Linked DNA regions of Elephas maximus indicus. The protein of the gene in region 1 interacts with the protein of each later gene in a pairwise test. Links are inferred from orthologs where the notes say so. Each region holds a gene or a part of one and is shown on either strand. Other genes may lie near its edges.

Evidence for each region.
Region 2: the proteins of TFCP2 (region 1) and CA1 interact in binary tests that used the Homo sapiens proteins (3 or more experiments, as listed by UniProt). The two-hybrid records come from large-scale screens. The link is inferred for Elephas maximus indicus from reciprocal best matches to the Homo sapiens genes TFCP2 and CA1.
Region 3: the proteins of TFCP2 (region 1) and CDC73 interact in binary tests that used the Homo sapiens proteins (3 or more experiments, as listed by UniProt). The two-hybrid records come from large-scale screens. The link is inferred for Elephas maximus indicus from reciprocal best matches to the Homo sapiens genes TFCP2 and CDC73.

What each region holds. Positions count from the first base shown.
Region 1 is NC_064822.1:106,577,989-106,586,415, forward strand, and holds the start of TFCP2 (alpha-globin transcription factor CP2), read right to left. Parts: upstream 3,338-8,427; 5' UTR 2,644-3,337; coding exon 2,522-2,643; intron 1-2,521.
Region 2 is NC_064833.1:56,265,465-56,274,040, reverse strand, and holds the start of CA1 (carbonic anhydrase 1), read right to left. Parts: upstream 3,203-8,576; 5' UTR 3,016-3,202; intron 500-3,015; 5' UTR 476-499; coding exon 439-475; intron 1-438. UniProt on the Homo sapiens protein: Catalyzes the reversible hydration of carbon dioxide. Can hydrate cyanamide to urea.
Region 3 is NC_064842.1:58,646,425-58,654,732, reverse strand, and holds the start of CDC73 (parafibromin), read right to left. Parts: upstream 3,488-8,308; 5' UTR 3,244-3,487; coding exon 3,113-3,243; intron 634-3,112; coding exon 528-633; intron 1-527.

The DNA.
Region 1 (8,427 bases):
CACACGAACCACGGAGTCTTCTAACCTGAAACCAGAAGAGCTAGATTATGCCTGGCTACTACTAATGTTCTGATCAGGGACACAAGAGAAAATCCTGGATAGAATGGGAGAAAAATGCAGAATAAAATTCATATTCCTAAAAAGGCCAGACCTACTAGACCAATAGGAAACCCTGGTGGTGTAGTGATTAAGCGCAAACCAAAAGGTCAGCAGTTCAAATCCACCAGACGCTCCATGGGGCAGTTCTACTCTGTCCTATAGGGTCACTATGAGTCGGAATCGACTTGATAGCAATGGGTGGTGGTGGTACTGGACCGACAGAGACTAGATGAACCCCCAAGAATATCACCCTAAATACCCTTTGAACTTGGAAGGTCACCTTTCAGCCAAATAATAGATTGGCTTATAAAATATGTAATATCACCCATCAGTAATATGCTCCCTTAAGCAATGAATTATGAGACCAAATGGTCAACATTTACCCAATAGCAAACATGAAAAGGCAAGGTGGGGAAGGGAAGCTAGATTAACGAAAACAGAACAAATGGAATGGAAATAATGAGAATGCTCACACACTGTGGAAACTGTAACCAATGACACTGAACAATCTGTATAAAAATTGATAAACGGGAATCTAATTTGCTGTGTAGACTTTCACCTAATACACAATAAAATACCTGGAATGAAAAAAAAAACTATTGTGGATTTGATGTTGGAAAAAAAATTCTCCCGTGTGTAAACGTGCAAGTCATTGTATGAATACCTCTGAGGACCACAGAGGGTATGAGGTATGAAAGCACTCTTAAATGTAAGGTCACATGGCAGTGTACATGGTAGTAGTGCACTACATAGTAGAGGCACAGCAGTACTACATAGTAGTGCACACAGTAGATGCACAAATGTTTGTTAAAAATATTAACTATTTTCTATAACAAGTACAGTTATAGTTCATCATTTCCATTCTAAACTGATAACCCGGACAAAACCAAACTTTTTCCTGTGGTAATCTTTGCATGAACAACAGCATAAACTGTCAAACATTATGTCAGGTACTGACATGCAAAGCTCAAGGACAGGCAAAACTAAAGTTAAATTTCTCATGACTTTAAACATTGCATGACAGAACTCAAATTTCCCTGAAAAAAAAATCACTAAAATAGTTACACATTATTCTAACTATAAGCAATGATTCTTGAAGATGCTGAAGTATTAAGTTCAAACTCATAATTTACTTCAGTAAGGAAAGCGACTTTACTTCTCAAAAGATCTAGTGGAATGCAAAATTTGTCCACTTTCCCCATAAGACGCATCTTTCCCTATAAACTCATAAACCCAATGAAAGTGTGAAGTTCTAAGATCTATTTTTGACTCATTTATTTAGATTACATTCCATCTAACTCTAAGATGGAAACCCTGGTGGCATAGTGGTTAAGAGCTACAGCTGCTAACCATAAAAATCGGCGGTTCGAATCCACCAGGCGCTCCTTGGAAACCCTATGGGGCAGTTCTACTCCGTCCTATAGGGTCACATGAGTTGGAATCGACTCAAGGGCAACGGATTTGGTTTTTGTTTGGTAACACTAAGATGTGGCTGTTTCAACATTTCCAGGTGTGATTCTTGCACATATGTAAATGAAACATACTATAGTGGGGAATGAGGTGGCCAATGCATGTAAACATGTTATATGGGAAGTATTGCTGCTTTCAAAGGAGATTTTTATTTACCATCAACATATGACTTGATACATGAAGGTCTAAAAACATCTAAAAGCTCTTTTTGCCACCTTTTCATTGCACAGCTTCTGTTTCAAGAGTCAGAAACCCTGTTGTTGTGTGCCAAGATGATTCTGACTCAGTGCAACCCAATGTGACAGAGGAGAACTGCCCCACTGGGTTTCCTAGGCTGTAGTCTTTACCAGGGAAGATCACCAGGTCTTTTCTCCGGCGGGGCTGCTGGTGGGTTTGAACCACCGACCTTTCGGTTAGTAGAGGAGCACTTAAGCACTGCACCACCAGGGCTCCTTTCAGAAACCCTAGAATTAACTAAAAGCCTTAAAGCAGTCCAGGGCTAAGATACAGATGTGCGGACTTCTTCACCAAGGTCTCACATTTACTTCCAACAGTCAACCAATATTCATTATTAAGCCCCAACTCCCAAAACATGCCTCATGTTCTACGGGGTCCCACCTTTGTACAAGTCCAGACGAACCTATCCACACCTACACATACATCATTAGTCTCCAAGTCTCCCACACTGGCACAACAGCCTCTCAACGTTCATCCGGTTGCTAATTAAGAGTCATTCTTCCTTCTTCCACTGACTCGGCAGTCTTGACATTCCTACAATCTCTTGTTCCATTTCTACCACACACTCACTATCCAAAGCAACAAAAGAAACAAGTCCCTTTCTCCAACCACAGACACCTTCATTAACTCCATACACCTCCCACCCCCACCCCCTTATTCTCTATGCTTCCTTTGTTATTCCGTAGGTACAGGGCCTGGGAAAAATCTCACTCACCTCATGCTATAGGCACCAGCACCCAGTTCCTGGCCGATCCCGGAAAGACTAGCATCAAAGTCCTGCACCAGCCCGGATTCAATCACTTCATCCGCCAGAGGCAGCTTCAGAGCCCAGGCCATCCCGGCTCCTTCCTTGCCCCAGGAGACACCGTTGCTTGTACAAAGGCGCGGAGCGTGATTCTACCCAACAGGGGAAGACTGTAGAGAACTCCAAACCAAGATCTCCCAAGCAGTGCCCACCAGCCACCCCCAAGCCCCACAGGCACTCCTCGCACAACTAATCTCCCGAACCCTTGACTCCTCCTCGCTCTTAGCTGCCCCGGCTTCCGAAACCCTCCCGACCAGCTCTCTGGAGCGCGAGGCCCCCTCTGCTCAACTACTCCCGACTGGCCAGGGGCAGCCCTCGACTCCCGCACTCCCACTCCTTGGACTGCCCTCTTTGAGCTCGTGGTGGTCACTCGCTGGTTTCCAGACAGGCCAACAGCACCGACTGGCAGTCAGTCTGGCGCTCCCACGCCGCTTTCGCACCTTTTCCCCCGCCCACTACTACGAGCAGCCCCCTCCCTCTCGGGACCCACTCTCCTTTCCCCTCCAGGCCTCGCTTCCGGTCAGTCCCAATATCACTTCCGGTCACCCCTTCTAAACAGTACGGCCCTTAGAATCAAATCCAGGTTTCCTTAGAGCCGGCTCCCCACCCTCTGCAGCGCCCCACTGTCTCGAAACATGGAAGGGGAAAGTCCAAGCACCAGCTTGAAACCCAGACTCGCCAGGCCCCTCCACCGCCCCGGCGCCAACCAATCATGGCGCCCTCTTCCTTCGCCGACCCGGCGAACATGACGTGACCCTATCGCTCACCAATGAAGAAGAGATTTTGTCGGCCTCCGGAGTGTTGATAGGCTAGCCACGCCACGGCTTCCGCCCCTGGAGGCAGGACTGGTCGTTCTCGAGGGGGAACCGGTGCATGTTCAGCGTGTCGCGGTTTAAACGTCCCTCTGTCCTCTTGTGTGGCTATTTGAGTTCTTGGCATCCGCTGCGTACCTACTCGCCGCTCTAAGGCCCTAGGGCAGTCTTACTGAACCCGCTCCCACCTCTGGCGGGCTCTTGGCGGTTTCACAGACGTTCGCTAGCTGCGCGCCTTTCCCCCTGCTCATCCTCCTATCTTGAATGCGCTCATTCCTTAAACTAATCTTTCCGGAGATTAAGACCCAGTTTCAATCCGGCTTCTCTGGATATTCATTTTATCTCCCGCCATTCCCCCTAATGCATTTGAAAAACAGGAAAGCATGAAATGAGTGAAAGTATTGTGATTAAAAAAAAAGGGGGGGGGGTATGGTTTGAGATTTAAAAGTTCCAAAAACCAGGTTTGGGCTGTTACCTTCATTTACTAGTTTGGTGACTTCAGATAAACCGCTTAATCTTGCTGAGATTTAGCTTTCTCATTTGTAAAGTAGATATAACCATACCTTCCTTCTTTGAGAATTAAATAATGCCATTGTTTATTGAGCGTCACCTGCATGCCAGTAACTTTATTACGTTATCAGTAATCTCCAAGACAACCTTAGAATTATAATTCTAAAGGTAAATGTTATGGCCCTCACTTTACCAATAAGGACGCAAGGTGAAATTGGCAGAGCCAACGTCAGAGCTGACTTCAGAACTGATCCAAAGCCTGGCATTTTTCATACAACACATTGCCTGTATGTGAAAGTATTGGTTCTTTATTGTATTACTGATTTTTTTACAGTCTGCCTTGAATTATAATTTTGTATGTATCTGCCTCTCTCTGTGAACTCCTAAAGAGTAGGGACTAGGTTTTTTTCAAGTTTGTATTCTAAATATCTCCTCGTATAATTCCTGCATTCAATAGGACTTTCAAAAAGATGCTTCTTGAATTAAAAAAGGAAAGAAAAAAAGAGTAAGAATGAGGAAAAAGAAAGACAATGTCGACGTGAAGTCCCTGACAGCATGCCCCCATTTCTAGCCATGCATTACTAGCTCTCTTTTACCTACCTGTTAGGGTCAAGTCGATTCTAACTCGGCTTCCAGTGCTGTTTTAGGGTCCTGGATTTAAACCCATCTTTTTTTTTTATTTATCTTGGTATGGGAACTGTGGTGGTGTGGTGGTTAAGTTCTACGGCTGCTAACCAAAAGTGTGGCAGTTCGAATCTGCCAGGCGCTCCTTGGAAACTCTATGGGGCAGTTCTACTCTGTCCTATAGGGTCGCTATGAGTCAGAATCAACGCCAGTGGGTTTGGTTTAGTGGGTTTATCTTGTTGTGGAAACCCCAGTGGTATAGTGGTTAGGGTCTACCACTGCTAGCCAAAATGTTGGCAGTTTGAATCCACCAGGCACTCCTTGGAAAGTATGGGGCAGTTCTCCTCTGTCCTATAGGATGGCTATGGGTCGGAATTGACTCGATTTGGTTTTTCTCTTGGTGTAGTAGTTAAGTGCTACAGCTGCTAGCCAAAATGCCAGCAGTCCAAATCCACCAGACACTCCTTGGAAACTCTAGGGGGAAGTTCTACTCTGTCCTGTAGGATCACTAAGAGTCAGAATCCACTCAACTGCAAGGGGTTTGGTTTTTTGTTTTTTGGGTTTTCTTTTTTTTCTTTTGTATTTTGGTAAACCCATGAATCCTCCTCTTGGTAAATTCCTGGTACCTAATATCTCCTCAAGCCATTTTTTTCTTCCCTTGAGCCAGTTTTACCTAAAAACATGTACCTGGGGTAAAGAATGGTCTGGGGTTCGGAGATAAAGAGATGTCACACATGGAGATTTGAAGGCTCAAAATCCTTTGTAGACCAGCATTATATCCAGTATATTTTCAAACACCTATTAGGCCAAAACATGCCTTGTTTGAACACCAGCTCCAACACTAGCTGCATGATCTTGGGTAAGGGACTTTACCTTTCTGAGTCTTAGTATTTTAATCCATCCACTAGTAAAAATAATAAACAAACAAAAACAAATCTGTTACCATGGAGTCAATTCCAACTTGTAGCAACCCCGTGTGTTACAGAGCAGAACTGCTCCATAGAATTTTCTGTAATTTTTACAGAAGCAGATCGCCAGGCCTTTCTTCCACAGCACCACTGAATGGATTAGAACTGCCAATTTTTACATTAGCAGCTGATAGCAAACCATTTACACCACCCGGGGACCTCCTCCTGAAATTGTTGTGAGGCTTAAACAAGGTGCCAAAATGCCATATGTGTAGTAATTATAAATATTAACTCCATTTTCCCACTAGCCCACTTCCACTTCCCTGTTCAGATTGGGACTCTATTGTTATGTATTGTTAATGCTATTTTAATAACATTATATTACTATGATATAATAGTTTTAATAGCACTCTACTACATATTACACAGCAGCCAGGTGGTTCAGATAGTTAAGTCTCAACTACTGGCTAAAAGGTTGGTGCTTTGAACCCACCCAGAGACACCTAGGAAGACAGGCCTTGTGATCTGCTTCTGAAAGGTCACAGCCCTGAAAGACCTATGGAGTGCAGTTCTACTCTGCACATACGGAGTTGCTGTGGGTTGGAGCCAACTGGACGGCAACTAACAACAACAACAATATATATTGCCTCATTTAATCCTCATAGAAGTTTTTATTTTGTTTGTTATGTTTTTAATATGAGGAAAGAGACTCAGGACAAGAGTGGTTAAAATCAAGAGGATTACAACCGCTTTAGAAAATGTCCTGAAATTATAACTCAGCAACTCTACTCCACTTCCCTATCAAAATTCTTTCACATTCACACCAAAAGACTTGTGTGAGAATATTCATGGCAACACTACTTGTAGTAGCAAAACAAAACAAATGCCCACCAACATGAGAATGGATAAATTGGAATGGAGTAGAATATTGAATTTCAGTTGAATACTGAACTCAATTTTGTCAGTGAAAATGAATAAACTAAGGCTACCCTCAACCACATAAATAAATCAATCCTAGAATTAAGGGTGGAAATGTAGAAGTCCTCATACACTGTGATATCGTTTTATAAAGCTCAAAACTCAGCAAAATTAAGCACTATATCACTTAGGGAAATGTACATACATTCCTTTCAAAAAGAGTGAAATGATAAGCATAATTCCAAGTGGTAGTCACATCTAAGGAAAGGCCAGGGAATGGGCAGGGGAGGAACTCGGAGCAGCTTCAACAAAGATAATAGCTTTGTTCATGGGTGATTTTTTTTTTCATCATTATGCTTCCTAACTTACAAAAAGTATATTCTTAAATAAGGAACAAATATTACACAAATTAGTAGCTGAGCCAGGAGCCACAGTCCAGGTCCCCCGATTATCTTAACTCAGCTTTGCCTTCCATGATGCCTCCCAGCTCATGGCATAGTCCTGGAAACTGTACAGATAACAGAGCAAATATAGGTAATAATGATAGGCTGGCTCATATTTACTGAGTCCTTCCTAAGTGTCAGGCCCCAGCTAGGTGCTTTAGTACATTATCTCATTTAATTCTCACATTACCCCTATAAGAGATTAGATTCTTAAATCCATTTCATAGATAAGGAAACTGAGGCTTAGAAAAAGTAATTAGATTGTCCAGGGTCATTAAGTTTGAGAATGGTGAAGCCTGACTTCTGACCCCACAGTCTGGGTGCCTAACCCTCATGCTAACTGCCTCTGTGGATGGTTATAGCCCAAAAGGGATCTGCTTCCCACCTATTTCTTCCTTTCAGGAATGGGTTTTAAAACTGGTGAAGGCGATAATTCTGAATTTTTAGAAAATGAACAGTGCTCATGAAGGAATATTGGACAATGCAGGTTTTCTCATCCACAGAAGGATAGCTCAAAGGGAATGAATTTAAAATAAAACAGGGAGTATGCACATCAGATGTTTGCCACTTCCCTAGGAATATCATGGAGCCCGTCCTCTGGACGATATTCAGAAAAAGACAGACAAGTGCTTTTTGAAAATTGTGTGAGCCTAATTTTATGAACTGAAGATTTCAGAAAAATCCTCCTTACCATTTATTAATTCTGAAACAAACTGAGGTGAAACGAAAGGAGATGTCCAAGTCTTGGCCCCTCCCAAACGCAATGCAGGTGAGCTTCCATCATATTTATGCCTCTTATAGACTGAATTATGTCCCACTCCAAATAAGGTGTTGGAATTCTAACCTTTATTCCTGTGGACGTAATCCTACCTACAAGGTGGAAACAGATATTACCTAGACCCTGATTTGGACTTTTTAGCCTCTGGAACTGTGAGAAAATAAATTTTTGTTCTTCAAAGCCACCTATTTGCAGTATCTATGTTCTAGCCACACTAGCTAACTATGACAATGTCCTTCAACCCAGTTCCACCTGAGGGAAGAAGACCTTACAGACTTATGAGGAGGAAATGAACTTTACCCCTCCCTTCCCTTCCCTTTCCTAATGTAACTAGGAGTGAAACTGGAGTGCTAGGACAGGAAGCAGAGGTTCCAGGAGCAGCGCCATCAGGTACTCCCCAGCAAACCCAGCAATACCTATCAATAGACCAAAATTTTGTGCATTTCCATAGATTCATCCCATAATAAAAATAATGACTCCTATTGTTGTTGTGTGCAATTGAGTTGATTTTGATTCATAGCAACCGTACAGGACAGAGTAGAACTGCCCCCATAGGGTTTCCTACACTGCAATCTTTATGGGAACAGGTTGCCAGGTCTTTTCTCCCTCAGAGCCACTGGTGGGCTCAAACCGATGACCTTTTGGTGAGCAGCCAAGCACTTAACTGTTGCACCACAGGGCTTCTTTGACTCCTTGTTGTTGTTGTTAGGTATCATCTAGTTGGTTCTGACTCATAGCGACCCTATGTACAACAGAACAAAACACTGCCCGGACCCACACCATCCTCACAATCATTGCTATGCTTGAGCCCATTGTTGCAGCC
Region 2 (8,576 bases), on another chromosome or scaffold:
ATTCCAAGTTTTAGGCATACAGCTACCTGTTTGCTGGACTGTGACATTCTGTTTAGCTTAATGGGCATTCAATGTTGAAGATGCCCCTTTTCTATACTATACTATAAAGCAGTATATTTGTCAACACTAGTAATACAGGCTCATACTCATAGCCTATAGGTTAAGACTATAAATATTTTATTATTAGCAATAGATTTCTAATAGTAAAATCTATCTATTGAAGGTACATGAAGGAATTTTGCTTTTGGAAAATATATTTTGTAGACAACCATACCAAAGAACAGCTGCTAAGAATACATGTAAAGATATTACAATTATTCAAAACAAATAATTCAAACTATTAACCTATGACTACAGAGCTATTTTGAACGCTTAATACCTCTGCTACTGAAAAGAGAATAAGCTATTATCTCTGATCTATCTGAGCAGAGCTCTTACCATTTTTGACATCATATCCCCAGTCAGCACTTGCCATGGTCTTGCAGTTAGTTTTCTTTTTCTGAAACAAAGATAACACCTGTAATTACTGACGGTGACCGTGCATGCAGTAGACACCACCACTTGGGGTTTTTATAGAAGTTCCCTGTCCTTTAATATGCTACTATTTCACCATCTCAGCCTATAAGGAAATGTGTATATGTAAAAAGAGATGTTGTAAAAAAAAGTTCACAAGGGTCATGTCAGTTTCATTTTTTTTTTTTTTTATATTGTAAAACAGAAATAGCGAAATCTTAGTTTTTATAAAACCAAGCCCTGTCTCTCTCATGGTATTAGAATATGCGGCTGAAAACTATCACACGCCATTCTTTGGATTTTCTAAATTACCCATGACTTTGTGCACTTGCTGTTTCCAATTCTGCCCTTGCTGGATACTTTTAAGCAATATTACCAATAAAACGAAACCCACTGCAGTTGAGTCGATTCTGACTCATAACGACCCCATAGGACAGAGTAGAACTGCCCCATAGTGTTTCCAAGGAGCAGCTCTTAACCACTATGCCACCAGGCCTCCTAAGCAATATTAAAACAACAGTTAATTAATAAGAAAAATTTGCATGTTTATAGACTGATCTGAACTAGCATCACGACATTAATTTAACATCAGATAAAAAAGTTACTGATGGTTTGTAATACGTATAATTCAGAATGGTGCGTTTCATAAACACACTCAGGATGAGAACAAAGTCCATTTTGGAGTAATAATGGAATTCATACAAAAATTAATTAATATTTAAATTCAGGCCCAATGTTTATTTTACACATTGAATGGGTCTATTAGTGCAATGGTTCAGTGCTTGCTTGCTAACTGAAAGGTCAGCTGTTTGAACCACTCAGTTGCTCTGAGGGAGAAGGACCTGGCAATATGCTTCTGTAAAGATTACAGCCTAGAAAAGCTGTGGGCAGTTTTACTCTGTCCCATGGGGTCACTATGAGTTGAAAACCAACTTGACGGCACTTAACATAAACAACAATACAATCTATAAAGAATTTTCATATTATTTTACCACCACAAAAAAAAACCTTTAAAGTAAGAATTATCATTTTGTAGTTGACAGATATTGAGAGACTTCACCACAACTATCAAAAAACCAAGAAGCCAAGACTTCGGCCTCCAAGTTCATTTTCTTTCTTCACTATACCTCCAGCAGATGTGACACTGGGTGAGCTATGAGACGGATGATCCCTAAATCTCCTTCTATGCCCACAATTTTCTTAAGTCACATTTAAGTCCACACCAGGGTGAGAACTGCCACTTGTTGAGTGATGAGAAGGTCTACAGGGCTTTTCAGGGAGTCAAAGAAAAATGATTAGAATGTGCCCACATTCTTGAGGCTCTAAGTGTACTCAAAGGAAATGCAACCAGAAAAATAAACTTCCATAGTAATCCTTTTTTCATGCTAGAAAAAGACATATCTCCATTCGCACTGTAGAATCATGAGCTGCCTGGCTCCCCGAGGGAAGAGTGGGATGAGAAGCAATTTTTAGCAGTGCTCACCAAGGACATGTTTATTTCTTTGTAGATCAGAATAGCCTGCTGCTTCATATGCAGACTGAACTATGGCTCATGGACATTCACAGAGCGAGAAGAGGTTTTGTTGGTAGAAGGAAAAATCTTTTAAAAGAGCTTTATCTTTTAAGGTAACATTTATTAAGCGACCAATATGTATCAAATGCCATGCTAAAAACTTTACATGCAGTATTTCACTTATTCTCACAAAAGCGTTCCCATGGAAGCTGATTTTTTTATTTTAACATTAAAATCTGTTTTACATCCAAAGAAATTGAGGCCTACAGAGGTGAAGACACCTCCTCAGAGTTACAGAGCTTGGAAGTGGCTGTTTACAGTCCATAAATCTAGGGCTTAACAGTAAGTCTAACTACAAAGCTTCTTTTCTTTCTTAACCTTTACAGACAGACCCTTCCACTGTCAAAAAAATGTCCTTTGGCCTCCTTTTGATTCTATTTTCTGGAAGACTTGCTTAGTTGATCTGGACTGGTCTGGCTCAACAGTCAAGATTAATTCATCCAGACTTATGACCTCAGGCTTCACCAGAAGCTCATGGAACAACAGTACAGGCTACTCTTGGCCAGGTAATTTGTCTCTTGAACCTAAATTCTTTGTCAGAAACCACTGTAATCACTATATTGACCAATATATTTGAAAAAAGACAACCCCTTTTTCATTACAGGATAATTCAGCACGTAAATGTTTTAACATTCATAAAAAAAAAATATGAGATGGTAATTCACTTGAAGTTTTAGGTACACAATTACTTTAAACCCTTACCATTACGACCCTTTACTCCATTATCTACCCAGGGTGTGTTTGTGTACTCGGACAAGCAGAAAACTATATAGAGAAAGGAAGTAGAATTTAATGAGTATCTATGATTTAGGCTCTGACACCTTGTTTTATCATCATATGATATTAGGCGTGATTATAGGGTCTCTAAATGGTAGGGCACAACACAAAGACACTTGGATAGATGAAAAGCAGAAATCTTTGTTACTTACAGCTCCAAATGAGAGAAGGCAGTCAGCAGTGCCAAACAGGCTCAGTAAACTGGAGACGTTGGAGATGGCTTAAGTATGGAAAGCAAAGTGGGGTTAGCTAGGTAGGCAGGCTCCCAGTGAATTGGCGAATTTGAATAATTTTGTGAGCTCTGGGGCATAAAAACGGTTCCCAGTCATTTGATATCTGGCCCCAGGGTGATTAGGGTGGGTACGTAGTGGCCCCAGAGTGTTAGAGCCTGATAGAGGAAGTAGTTGAGGTGTAGACTTAATCAGTTGCTGTAGAAGAACTGATTGGCCTCTAGCCAGGGCCTCAAAGTTAGGTTGAGCCAGCACTAAAAACAAAACAAAAACTAGGTTACAATTGACTCCTTGATTTCTTGACAACAGCTTCAAGTTCAATTATTTGTGGTATTTGAGTGGCCTGAATAGTAGGGGAGTAGGGCATAGTTGCTCTAAACAGCATAGAAATCGTTAGATTATGACAGTAAAAATAAAGAACCCAAGTAAAAGCCTGAGAAATCCCTGAAGACTGGCTTATAGCCACGTTCCCCATTTGGTGTTATCAAAGAGAATAAATTAGTTATGGCAGGATACTCTAGAAATACTTTGGTTGAATTGTGGAGTGTGATAAAGGTGTAGGTTCAGTTTTTGTGATGATGATTTTGTGGTCCAAGCTGTGTGTTGGAGTGGCCACTTGACCAATGTTGTTACCTGCGAACAAAACAAAGTACTAATAATGCTACAAATGCCTCCTTGATTACCTAATAAAGAATTAAGAGCCAATGTATCACCAAAAACCATTTTTGTGAGGGTTCTATGGCCTTGATTAAGCAGGTCTAATATTTGTTGTACTTTAAGAAATGTGAGATACTAGATATTTGGACATTCATAGGTTAGTGTCAATGATTTTGATTGTTGAGTTAGAGTGATGGTCCCTGTAACTGTCTTAGCAAGTCCCAAAGTGGTAGAAAGTTCCATATTATAGATATGACAGGGACATGTCAATGATATTTGGCTGGAGTGGGGTAAGAATGATTAATCTTTACATAAACGGGAAGGCCAAGAGAGGCTGGAACTAATCAATGCGGTTTGTGGCTTAGGGGTACTGGAAGAGCAAATTAGAGGGGATGAGAACCCTTGTCTACTGGACCACAATATAATCTGGTGGTGTTATTTTTAGATTGAAAAACTGGGAATTACTAAAGAACGGGACTGAAGGTAGACAGTTGATTTTGCTGGGCATATAGTAAGGGTTTAGAGTCATCCATTAGGTAGCTCATATGTGCTGTGTATTGAGGAAACATAAGAACAATTACCATTTGCCATAGGGAGTGCCCGAGATACAAGGGAAGTAGCAGTTTGGAGGAGGTTTTAATTTCCCAATATTTTCCATCTCTGGGCCAGGTATCAGCTGGATAAATGTTTGGTGTGGTATATTTGGAAGCAGACTAATGGCAAATTCAAACAGACAATCAGTGCATGAGAAGCTAGTTCAGTTGGTTCAGTTAAAAGAATATATATGTATGTTGGATGCCTGTGTACATATTCAAAGAGCTTTGTTGATGAGTTTGAATTTCATTTGCTATGTGGTCTTTTGGAGGATGAAAGGGGTAGTCACTGAAAGGATAGAAGAGACTAAGGTGGGGCTGTGGATGCTGAATAATGAGGAAGATGGAGGGAAAAAAATATGAAGGGAAATGAATGATTTGAGCATTGGGAGGCCAGCAGAATTCTCCTCTTATATCTAGGAGAGCACATAGCATGAATACCTTGGTAAGGTCAGCCTTTACGCTGGAGGGAAAAACAAAACCAGTTGCTACTGAGTCAATTCTGACTCATGGCAACCTCATGTGTTTCAGAGTAGAACTGTGTTCCAAAGAGTTTTCGATGGCTGCGATTACCAAGCCTTTCTTCCGAGGTGCCTCTGGGTAAATAAGAACTGCTAACCTTTAGGCTACTAGCTGAGCACTTAACTTTTTGTGTCACCTAGGCAGGAGAGGTGAGTCATATTAGAGGGAATTTTAATCTTGGAGGCATTGGACTTGGCCCAATAAGGGCTTAACATGGTACAAAGTAAAATTATAATCATGGTGAGGAGGGCGGGAGGACTTACAGTTTTATCAGTACTCACTCAAGGTGATGTGGGTCATATTTTTGAGGTTCTATGGTATTTTAACAGGGAGGAGCCACTTGTAGAATTTGAAGACAATGTTGGATCCAGGAGCTTGATTTGCATATATGTTTTCTGGGTGCATAGCTAGCAAAAGTGATGGTGGCATTCACGATACTGCCATGATTGAACATAATCACTGGAAACTGCCTGGCACAATTAAAGCCTCAATTAAGGTGGCCAAATCTAAAAGCTCCCAGCAGTCCAAGGTTTTGCCCAGATGGATGATGATAGGGGATTCTGCTGCAAATAGGTTTTTAAATCACATGGCTTAATTTGGGTGCATGTTAATAGGATATTAGGTTGCTTGCCAATTAAAATATCTGTGACAGGTTGGAGCTCCATTGTTAGCCTGTAGGCAGGCCCTCCAATTTAGCCAATTATTATCACTCCTTTGCTTCAGTTGTCTGGTGAGGTCTTTGGATTGCAGGACTTGCATTAGCCGAAGTTGATGGCATGTGAGCCTCAGCATTTGCCATGTTTGACTTTAACAATGGCTTATGTGGAGGGTTGAGCCTCCAGATTACAATCAATGAAAGCACCAGAGGAATAGTAACAAGACCAAGAGAGAAAGGTATGAAACTTCATCTTAAACGCTTTTTGTTGTTTGATGCTTCTTTCCCTCTGGCATGAGTTATCACCAAGGAGGAATTGTCTGGTTTCATCATGGTGGATTAGGGCGTTGGTTCCATCATTATTTTCTAGTGGAATTTTCATTTACTCTGTGGAGTTGCTTATCTTCCTTCTTGGTGGTCTATGGAAAGGGTCCTGGAGCAATAATTTTAATTTCCTGTAGGGGATCAGAGGGGGAGGCTGGATCAATCACGCATCCCTTATAACCTAAATAGTGTGGAATGTTTCTAGGTGTTGGAAATTTAGGTTTGAATGGGTCACAAATGTGCAGGTGCCCTGTCAATCTACTGTTAATGGTCCCAGGTGTGTATGAGCCCTCCATTTGGCCTGGGATGGGGTCGAGATTGAAAATCCATGTTCTTGGGAGGAGATATTAGTGAAAGATTTCCAGTCTAGAGAATCCTCATAAAGATGAAGATGAGATCTATCATTGTTAGCTGCCATCAAGTTGGCCCCCCCTCCCACCCACCACACACTCATGGTGACTCCATGCACGATGGGATCGGACTATTATGATCCACAGAGCTTTCATAGGCTTATTTTTCAGAAGTAGATTTCAAGGGCTTTCTTCTTGGTCTTAGTCTGGAAGCTCCACTGAAACCTGATCAGCATCATAGCAACATGAAAGCTTCCACTGACACACGGGTGGTGGCTGTGCTTGAGGTTCACTGGCTGAGACTCTAACTTGGGTCTCCTGCATGGAAGTTGAGAATTCTACCACTGGACCACCACTGCCCCCCAAACTGTGATATTTCCCTTTTAAATATAGAAAATGGCAATGGGAAGGCTTGTAAAAATTAGTATGTGGTATAAGCCTATCCAAAAATCTAGAATTAAGAGAAATTAGGCCTCAGGGCAAAAATGAGGCCCAATTATAAGTCTACTTGCTAGACTGGAGTTTAGAAAGCAGTTGTTTTTTTGATACTGTTACGTCTCTCAGTTAAACTGGCTCTGTTACTGCAATTTCACGAGTTAGAGCCACCTGCCGCAAAGTTCTTGAGACGGGGTGAGGTGGGTAGCAAGAGCTTTATCATATATACCAGTAAATGGAGACAGAGGGGAATGATCTCCTAAAGCTGTCTGTCTCGAGAAACTGCAGTCCATCTTGGTGGGGTTTTATAGGGAAAAGGGGACATGGGTTTGAGGAACTTGAGGAATGTCCATTCTCTTTCTGTGTCGTTAGGGTGATTACATCTCAAACATCTGGATCTTTCCCTGCCATTATCCCATCAGCCCAGGGGCTGACTGGCGCCATCCTGATGAGCATCATCCTGTTTGACAGACTTAGATATCGCTTGTTTTCCCATCGTCCTAGGGGAAACACTGGTTAACATTTAACTTTTAGAGGAGCTAACAGCAAAATCACACTTGGAGACAGAGACAAGCTACGGAAAGGAAAAATGGCTCAGGTTTCGTTCAAGATATTGCTGAGCAGCCTGTTCTAGCTCCCTGCAGTGATATGCCAGATGACAATTCCATTGAATAACCTGTTCCAAAGCCCATCGTTTTGCTACATATGCTGCAAAATGGGAACTCTGATCTGAATCAGTACTGTCAGGAGTTCTGAAGGGCTAGAATGGTTTTAGTAAGGCGAGTGATTGGCATTTTGGCCACAGCAAGTCCAATAGGAAAGGGCAGTAGAAGGCCAGTGTAGGTATCTGCCATGGTTACAGCATAACATGTGGCCCCTGATGAAGGGGGATTCAGTCCATCAACCTGCCACCAACTATAGGGGACTATTTCCCAGAGGAATATTGCTGTATCTCATGAGTTGCCAATGAGTTTGATTATTGTCATTGGTAGGTGCCGTCAAGTTGGTTCTGACTCATAGCGACCCTGTGTACAACAGCACAAAACACTACTCGGTCTTGCACCATCCTCACAACAATTGCTATGTTTGAGCCATTGTTGCAGCCACTATGTCCATCCATCTCATTGAGGGTCTTCCTCTTTTTTGCTGGCCCCCTGCCAAGCATGATGTCCTTCTCCAGGGACTTGTCCCTCCTGAGAACATGTCCAAAGTATGTGAGATGAAGTCTCGCCATCTTCACCTCTAAGGAGCTGCACTTCTTCCAAGATAGGTTTCTTTGTTCTCCTGGCAGTCCACGGTATACTCGATATTCTTCACCAACACCATAATTCCAAGGCACCAACTCTTCTCCAGGCTTTCTTATTCATTGTTCAGCTTTTACATGCATATGAGCAATTGAAAATACGATGACTTGGGTCAGGCACACCTTAGTCCTCAAGGCGATATCTTCGCTTTTTAACATTTTAAAAGGTCTTTTGCAGCAGATTTTGCCCAATGCAATACATGGTCTGATTTCTTGACTGCTGCTTCCATGGGCATTGACTGTGGATTCAAGCAAAATGAAATCCTTGACAACTTCTATCTTTTCTCCATTTAACATGATTTTACTTATTGCTCCAGTCATGAGGATTTTTGTTTTCTTTATATTAGGGTGTAATCCGTACTGAAGGCTGTAGTCTTTGATCTTCATCAGTAAGTACTTCAAGTTCTCTTTGCTTTCAGCAAGCAAGATTGTGTCATCTGCATATCGCAGGTTGTTGATGAGTCTTCCTCCAATCCTGATGCCACGTTCTTCTTCATATAGTATAGCTTCTTGGATTATTTGTCCAGCATACATATTAAATAGGTATGGTGAAAGGGTACAACACTGACACACTGATTTCAAACCACCCTTGTTCTGTTCAAATGACTGTCGCTTGGTCTAGGTACAGGTTCAGCATTAGCATG
Region 3 (8,308 bases), on another chromosome or scaffold:
AAAGCTGTCTGTTAATTTTGATTCTTTCTTATGACATTTAAAAAAAATGTTTTCTTGCGATTAGAGTTCTGAATATCTGGGTTCTACCACAGGTACATGAATTCTTTAAAAAAAAAAAAAAAACCATAAATAGCTTTAAAACATCTACTACCATAAACATTACACACAGTTTACATGAAAAAAATCACAGATTAAAAAGTGTGCACAAATCACAAACGGTCGCCCAATTTTGATCCTTCAAAGAGCCCTGGTGGTGCAGTAGCTAAGCTTTTGACTGCTAACCAGAAGTCGGCAGTTCAAACCTACCTGGGAAACCCAACGGGGCTGCTCTACTCTGTCCTATAGGGTCGCTATGAGTCAGAATCGACTCAACAGCAATAGGTTTGGTTTTTTTCTTTTTTCCTTGAGACCTTCATGCAGATGGATCTTTTGATCTTTCTGATTTGAAACATATAAGGAAAGCTACCCATGTCAAGTAATATCTAACATTAATTCAAAGAAGCAATTTTAAAATAAATTCTACTTACGGCTGCACGTCGGACATACACAGGATGAGAAAGGTGTACATTGTTAAGAAGAAATAAGATAGAATCCAACGTGTAATACTCTCTGGGTTGGCCTTCCTTTCCAGTCCTAAAATCATTAAGGCAAGATTTTTACCAACAATTCTAATTCAACAATTTGAGCTTAATTTAAGGTACTCATTTATTTATACCCACTTTGCTGCTTAACAATGGATTTAAAATAGCTATCCAAAACACACTAAAGTATATAAATTGACTACTAAGTCAAACTGTTTTTAGGACAAAAAGAACACAAAGGAAAACGAGGAGAAAAAGCAAGAAAAAAGGAAAGCACGCAAAATTCACGCTCTTTGGTACTATAAACTTTTTAGAATTAGGCTCAGAACTTTGTCAATAGCAAGAGAAACCTAACCAGTTACAGATAAGGGAGAACTTATATGAGAAACAACGAAATTGTTAAGGAGAAGCACAGCTATGATTGGTGCTACAACTTAAGACAATTTTATCTTACGGCTCTTCCTAAAGTAGATACTGCTGAACAACATCCTCAACAATTCTTACAGTAACCGACAATGAATTTTAGAGGTACGCTTCTTACGACACCCCTCAGATTAGACCAGTGACGTTACCCAAAATGCAGCCGCACCTAGGGATGCAGCCTCTCTAACTCAAGCATATTACTTGCCAAACCAACGTTGGCGTCTGATCCCACTCCTCTTACTTCATTCTCCCACCCAGAAGTGAAATGGTCAGTATATTATTAGAATTCATCTGAATGCAGCCCACTGCAATTAGCCCTGAATCTACTTACCTAGCTTCTATTCCTATTTTTCCTTTAAATCAATGTATTTCAAGCCACACATCGCTATGCTATGAAATCAAATACTGTATGGGTAACTACCAGGCTTTCTTTGTTTTTGGTGATATAGAAAAGAATAGAAAAATAACAATGCACTGCATGCAACAAGAGCTTTAATGTTATATCTATTTACGTAGCTATAAAAATGTTAACGTTTGCACGTATAGATATATATGAATGAAAATATATTTCTTGGTTTGAGTCATTGTTCTGAAAGTTTGAAACCTACTGTTCTAAGCATGCTTTTTTCACTGTTATTGTTATCTGTGAACACATTTACTTTCCAGCTCTCATGCCTCTATACATGCAGTTCTATCATCTTGGAAGACCTAACCCACCGTTTTACTCACAGAATTCCTGCCCGTTCTTTAAAGATTATTCATTTATTCAAGAAAAATGTATTAGAAACCAACATGCCAAACTTACATCTATGAAATTTTTCCTAACATCCACCCGACTGAAGTGACTGCTTTCTTTTTATGAGACAGAAAACACTTCACATCAATTTATGTTATCGTCTCTATTCACATTAAATAAACCTCCTCTGAGGCAGGGATCAAGGTCTTAAGAATTTTTCTATTTCTCACATTGATTATTGAACTGCCCTGCACCCTGGGTATTCCTAAACCACTTTCCTAGAGAAGAAAAAAAATTAAAAATTCAATCATATGTAATCTTGTCCATGCAAATTATTTTGTAAAGATTAAAATAAAAAATTTCTTTAAAACTTCCCACAGTAAACTGAGAATGTCATTTCACTCACATTTCATAAAGCTAAATTAAATCATAAGACCTCGAGATAAAAATAAAAACAAAAGAACCAACCAACAAACAAAATTGCCCTTAACTTCTGGGCAACTCTTCATAAAGCCCACTGCCCCGCTTCACTCTATCTTTCCCTCAGTCAAACAAAGCTGGATATGGAAGTCCTGGTTCAAGGTTCTAACGCCCAAAGGAAGCACCAAAGAAAAGTGGCGTCACTATTTTTTTTAATGATTATTAGACCTGTCTCTGGATGTTTCGCTGAGTGATTTAAATTCAAGAAACCCCACGTGGATCAACGTTCCAAGCCATTTTTCTTTAACTCACACTTCCCAAAACCATGCGCATCTTCAATTTCTTAATTAGACCTATAAAACACTCACTCCATTCCACTACCAACTTTTTCCCTGAGGAAACGCCTGCCTCCGCCTCCAACACAGATTTTGACGACTCTTCCAAATTAATCTAAACCGCTTCCCACCTAAACTTCACAGAGTTGATTCCCTTCTCTCTTAAGGGATAACCCCCCTCTCCAACACGAAAGGGGAAGAAATAAAGCAGGAGCTGCAGGGCCAGGGGAGACAGTCACCACACACGGCAGCATCAAAGAAGAGAAATAAAGAACAAACAGGGACGTCCCCGGCACCAAATGATGTGTTCCTTTGTGCACCTACGCTCAGGTGTACTTGTGCACCAGCCCTACACATTACGGGTACTCGATACATACCTACAAAAATGAACGAGAAAAGTCACCTTCTTCTATGGCTTCCCCAATTCTAAAGAGGTGGGTCGCTCCAGACACAGCGTCTCAGCCCAAAGTGCAACTTCTGCTCCGGACAGAAACTTTTCGCCCGAGCACCCTGTTCGTCCCCGTCCCCAGGGGAAACGGGAGGAGGGCTCAGCAAAGAGGTCACTTGGGGGCGCCCAACTCTTCCCTGCCGCCCGGCCACGGCCATACCGCACTTACCCCCACACCACATAGTTGGTCTTGACGTTCTTGGGCCAGGAGAACTCCCCGAAGATCACTTCGTCTCCCTTCACCACGATCTCCTTCTTCTGGATGTTGTACTGTCGCAGGACGCTGAGCACGTCCGCCATCTTCCCCCCCCTCGCCGCCGCCGGACCCGGGCGCCGCCGCCGCCGCCGCGCCTGCCTCCGCCTTCCTCCGTCGGCTCGTCGTCCTCAGCGGCCGCCGCCGACGCTGCCGCGAACAGACAGCGGAGCAACTAGCAGCCGCCCTCGCCTACGACAGCAGCGGGAGCAGTAGCCACCCAGGCCGCCGAGGACCCCGCGCTAGAAGGCAAAGGCCCCGCCGCCGGCTGCCCGCGGAGAACGCCTGACTGCACGCCTCCGGCGCTGCGGGCCGCCGCCAGGGGGAGCCGTGAGCGCCCGGGAAAATGCCCCTCCCAGACTTCCACTCGACACCGAACGCGGAGCGCAGGGACTCTGTGCCCACGTACGGCGCACGTACAAGGAGTATTGCCGGTTACCCGCGCACGCGCGCGAAGCACGTACTTCATCCCCCGCAGCGCGCACTCCACAGGCGACAGGTGCGCGCGCACCTGCGTGGCTGGTGTATCCTTCTCTCCCTGGAGCACTCGCTGAGCCCTGTGCAACCTCTTTGGGGGCGGCCAAAGGCTCTCGCGTCGCTACTTTGCGAGGGTGGAGCTTGGCCAAGGATTTGCAGGAAAAGTAGGATTACCTTCCCATCTAGATATGACCTAGATCTACCAAAAGGCCTCTAAATGTGATCCAGATAAACTCCTTTAGAAGAGTTTTTTTCGGTGGACTGTCTTAGTGGAAAAGACCGAGTACGGCAGACCTCAATTCCGGGAACCACTATTTATTAGCTGTTGTTTGAGTTTGGTCAAATTACAAACGTTCTCACAGCAGCACCAATTGGTTTAATGGATAAAATGGGATTAATATACAGATATTAGCTTCAGGGATGTTATGAGGATTGTATGAGAATAAGGTGAAAGTGTCTACTAAATCATCAAAATAACATAAATGTTCTCTTTACACCCTCCATTCCATACATGGAGTCCTGGTGGCACAGTGGTTAAGAGCTATGATTGCTAACCAAAATGCTGGCTGTTCAAATCCACCAACCGCTCCTTGGAAACCCTATGGGCAGTTCTGCTGTGTCCTGTAGGGTAGCTATGAGTCAGAAGGGACTCAACTGCAATGCTTTTTTTAGTTGTTTTAATTCCACACATGACTTTCCCCATTTTGGCCCTTTCCCTCATCCCTATTCCCAATGGGCTACAAGGGCCCTGTTCTGAGATACTAATGGAAAAGTTAAAAACCAGGAACCCGAAACTGTTGTCAGTAGAAGAACACTTTCAGACAACCTGATTTTTGCTGGCACCCAGAAGACTCAATGAGTGTCCTACCAGTGTTGGGAAAGTTGAAATAAATTCAACCTGTGTACTCTAAGCAAAATGTATATCTTGGGTCCCATAATTTTGTTATAATTATTCTTTCTACTAAAGTAAAAGGGGGAAAAAAAGGAAGGTGATTGACACACCCAAATTCCTTCTCCTGATTTGAAAGAAATAAATTTTTGCTATGTGCAATAGGAGATGATATAAAAGTATGTGGTTCATTGCTGTACTATCTGTAGTCATTCTGCAACTGTGAATTTGATACATTTTACCTGTTTTGCACATGTTCTCATGTTCTCACCCCTAGGATGATTTCCTGAATCTCACTCAAAACAAACCCACTCTAACTGACTACTGTCTTATCCCTACACAGCCTACTCTATTCATACTTTGATCAGTGCAGCCAATATTACTTGACTGCCCTTATTAGTTTACTAACCTGTCTTTATCTACAAAACTAAAGGGCTGTAGACCTTTACTGTCATATCCTAATACCTTGCACATTATTTAGCATATAACATGCCCTACTATTATGTCAGTGTGTCATACTGTAGTGGCTTACATGTTGCTGTGATGCTGGAAGCTATGCCATCATATTTCAAATACCAGCAGGATCAGCCTTGATGGACAGCTTTCAGCAGAGCTTCCATATTAAGGCAGACTACAAAGAAGGACCTGGCAATCTATTTCTGAAAAAATTGGCTATGAAAACTTAACAAATAGCAACAGAACATTGTCTGATATATTGCCAGAAGATGAGCTCCTCAGGATGGATGTCACTCAAAATACAACTGGGGAAGAGCTGGCGCCTCAAAATAGAGTTGACCATAGTGACATGGATAGAGTAAAACTTTTGGGACCTTCATTTGCCGATGTAGCACAATTCAAAATTAAGAAGAAAAAGCTGCAAATATCCGTTAATAATGGGAACGTGGAATGTACAAACTATGAGTCCCGGAAAACAGGAAGTCATCAAAAATTAAATGGAACGCATAAAGATCAATATTCTAGGCATTAGTGAGCTGAAAGGGACTGGTAATGGCCATTTTGAATCAGACAATCATATGATCTACTATGCTGAGAATGACAAATTGAAGAGGAATGATGTCACGTTCATCATCAAAAATAACATTTCAAAATCTATCCTGAAGTACAACACTGCCAGTGATAATATCCATAAGCCTATAAGGAAGACAAGTTAATATGACTATTATTCAAATTTATACACCAACCACTAAGGTAAAAGATGAATAAATTCAATATTTTTACCAAAACGGATGTCAGAAGACTCTGAAACTTGCACTTGAACATAGACTACATAAAGCAAATGAAGAAATGACGAACTAAAGGAACTGAAGATTTCAAAAGGCAGCTCGAGAAGACAAAGAATTATAATGAAACATGCAAACACCTGGAGTTATAAAACCAAAAGGGAGTAACACACTTGGTATTTCTCAAGCTGAAAGAACTGAAGAAAAAAAGTCAAGCTTAGAGTTGCAATATTGAGGAACTCAATGGGCAAAATATTGAATAACGCAGGCATCAAAAAGAAGATGGATGATGGGGCCAAGATGGCGGGGTAGTCAGACGCTTCCGGTGATCCCTCTTACAACAAAGACCCAAAAAAACAACTGAAATGATTATATATAGGACAAGCTAGGAGCCCTGAACATCAAAGGCAAAGTTAGGAAATCAGACTGAGTGGCAGGGGAGGGAGAGACAGTTCAGAAGCAGCAAGGAGTTGCCAGACCTGACTCTATGGAAACCAGCAACCCTCAGGCACGATCCACTACAGCAACCGTGGCAGGGCTGGCTGTAGCGTTCCAGATGCTGCTTACTCAGGGAGAGACAGTGCACTGCACAGTCTACTCACACCTCCGGAAGCAGAGAAGAACAGCACTCTTGACAAAAGCTAAGTATTGCGTTTATTTTACCATGAAACCAGCCCTCAAACTGGCTTCAGTGGTTGTCGAGATCCCTAGGCCTGAGATAGGTCTTACTGCACGCCTTAGCCATTCTCCCAGCCATGGAGAAGGAATAAATTAACAATTAGGGGGAAAGATAATCTGCCAGCTCCACTAAGATGGGGGGCTCAGGACAGAAGCAGCTCCTGTCCAGGCACAAAGAGGCTGCAGACTTCGAATAACTTTCACCCCTATGCAGACCCGTGTGGGCCCATTTCAGGAGAATAGGCCTTTGTTGGCAGACTGCAATGGTGTATGTGCTTGAGATCTGGTTTCAACTGTTTCAACTGTGCAGTGGAGGGGAAGGTTTTGGTCTTTGACAGCATTTTGCCTGTGAAACAGGGTCCTCAGCAGCCCACATCAGGGGCTTGAGGATTGGTGGCTCCACCCACATCATCTAGTCACCGCAACAGGGGTCCAAGGATAAGTGGTGCCTCCCAGTCCTTACAACCAAAAGCATTAGGTGCCCATGGTCCAGCTACAAAACCCAGCCACCTGTGTGCTCTAGGGAAGAATCAGTCTTTCCTCACAGATGCTTGGGAGATAGTTGTCAGCCCCATACCTTGTTCAAAGCATGACCCCCTGCTGCAACCAGATACCGGTACCTACACCAATCACCCCTGCCCCTCTAAGACTGTAGGACAGAGTCTGTATCACACACTTGATGACCAACTACCTGGACACCTGAGCTGAACCCATACAAGAAAAGTGAATGGGCTCCTAGGCTCATAAACCTGGTGACAGCTCTAGCCACTGGTCACAGAACGTTAGTGCTTCAAAGGCAAAACTAATCAAGCTAGCTCATTCACATAGCCTATTTTGGCATATCAAAACAAAACAAAGAAGCTAGGATACAGTAAACAAACTTAAAATAAACTGATATAATAGCTTAAAGATGGCTTGGAGACATCAGTCAATAACAAATCACATAAAGAAGCAGACCACGATCACTTCAACAAGCTCTAAAAACAAAGAATCAAGGAATCTTCCAGATAAAGATATCTTTCTGGAACTGCCAGATGTAGAATACAAAAGATTAATATACAGAACTCTTCAAGAAATCAGGAACGAGATCAAGCAAAACGCAGAGCAAGCCAAGGAACACACAGATAAAGAAGCTGAAGAAATTAAAAAGGTTATTCAAGAACATAATGAAAAATGTAATAAGCTCCAAGAATCATAAGATTAACAATAAAATTACAGATATGAGAACTCAATAGAAAGTCAGCAGAGCAGAATTGAGGAAATTGAAGCCAGAAATAGTGAGATTGTAGATAAAACACTTGGCACCTGTGTATTTGAAGAAAAATCAGATAAAAGAATTTTTTAAAAAATGAAGAAACCCTAAGAATCACGTGGGACTCTATCAAGAGACATAACCTATGGGTGACTGGAGTACCAGAACAGGGAGGGATAACAGAAAATACAGAGATAATTTTTGAAGATTTGTTGGCAGAAAACTTCCCTGATATTGTGAAAGATGAGAAGATATGTATTCAAGATGCTCATCAAACCCCACAAAAGGCAGATCTCAAAAGAAAGTCACCAAGACATAATCGAACTTGCCAAAGCCAAAAATAAAAAAGAATTTTAAGAGCAGCTAGGGATAAATGAAAAGTCACCTACAAAGGAGAGTCAATAAGAATAAGCTCAGACTGCTCAGCAGAAACCATGCAGGCAAGAAGGCAATGGGATGACTTATATAAAAAATTGAAGGAAAAAAATTACCAGCCAAGAATCATATCCAGAAAAATTGTCTCTCAAATATGAAGGTGAAATTGGGACATTTCCAGATAAACAGAAGTCTAGGGA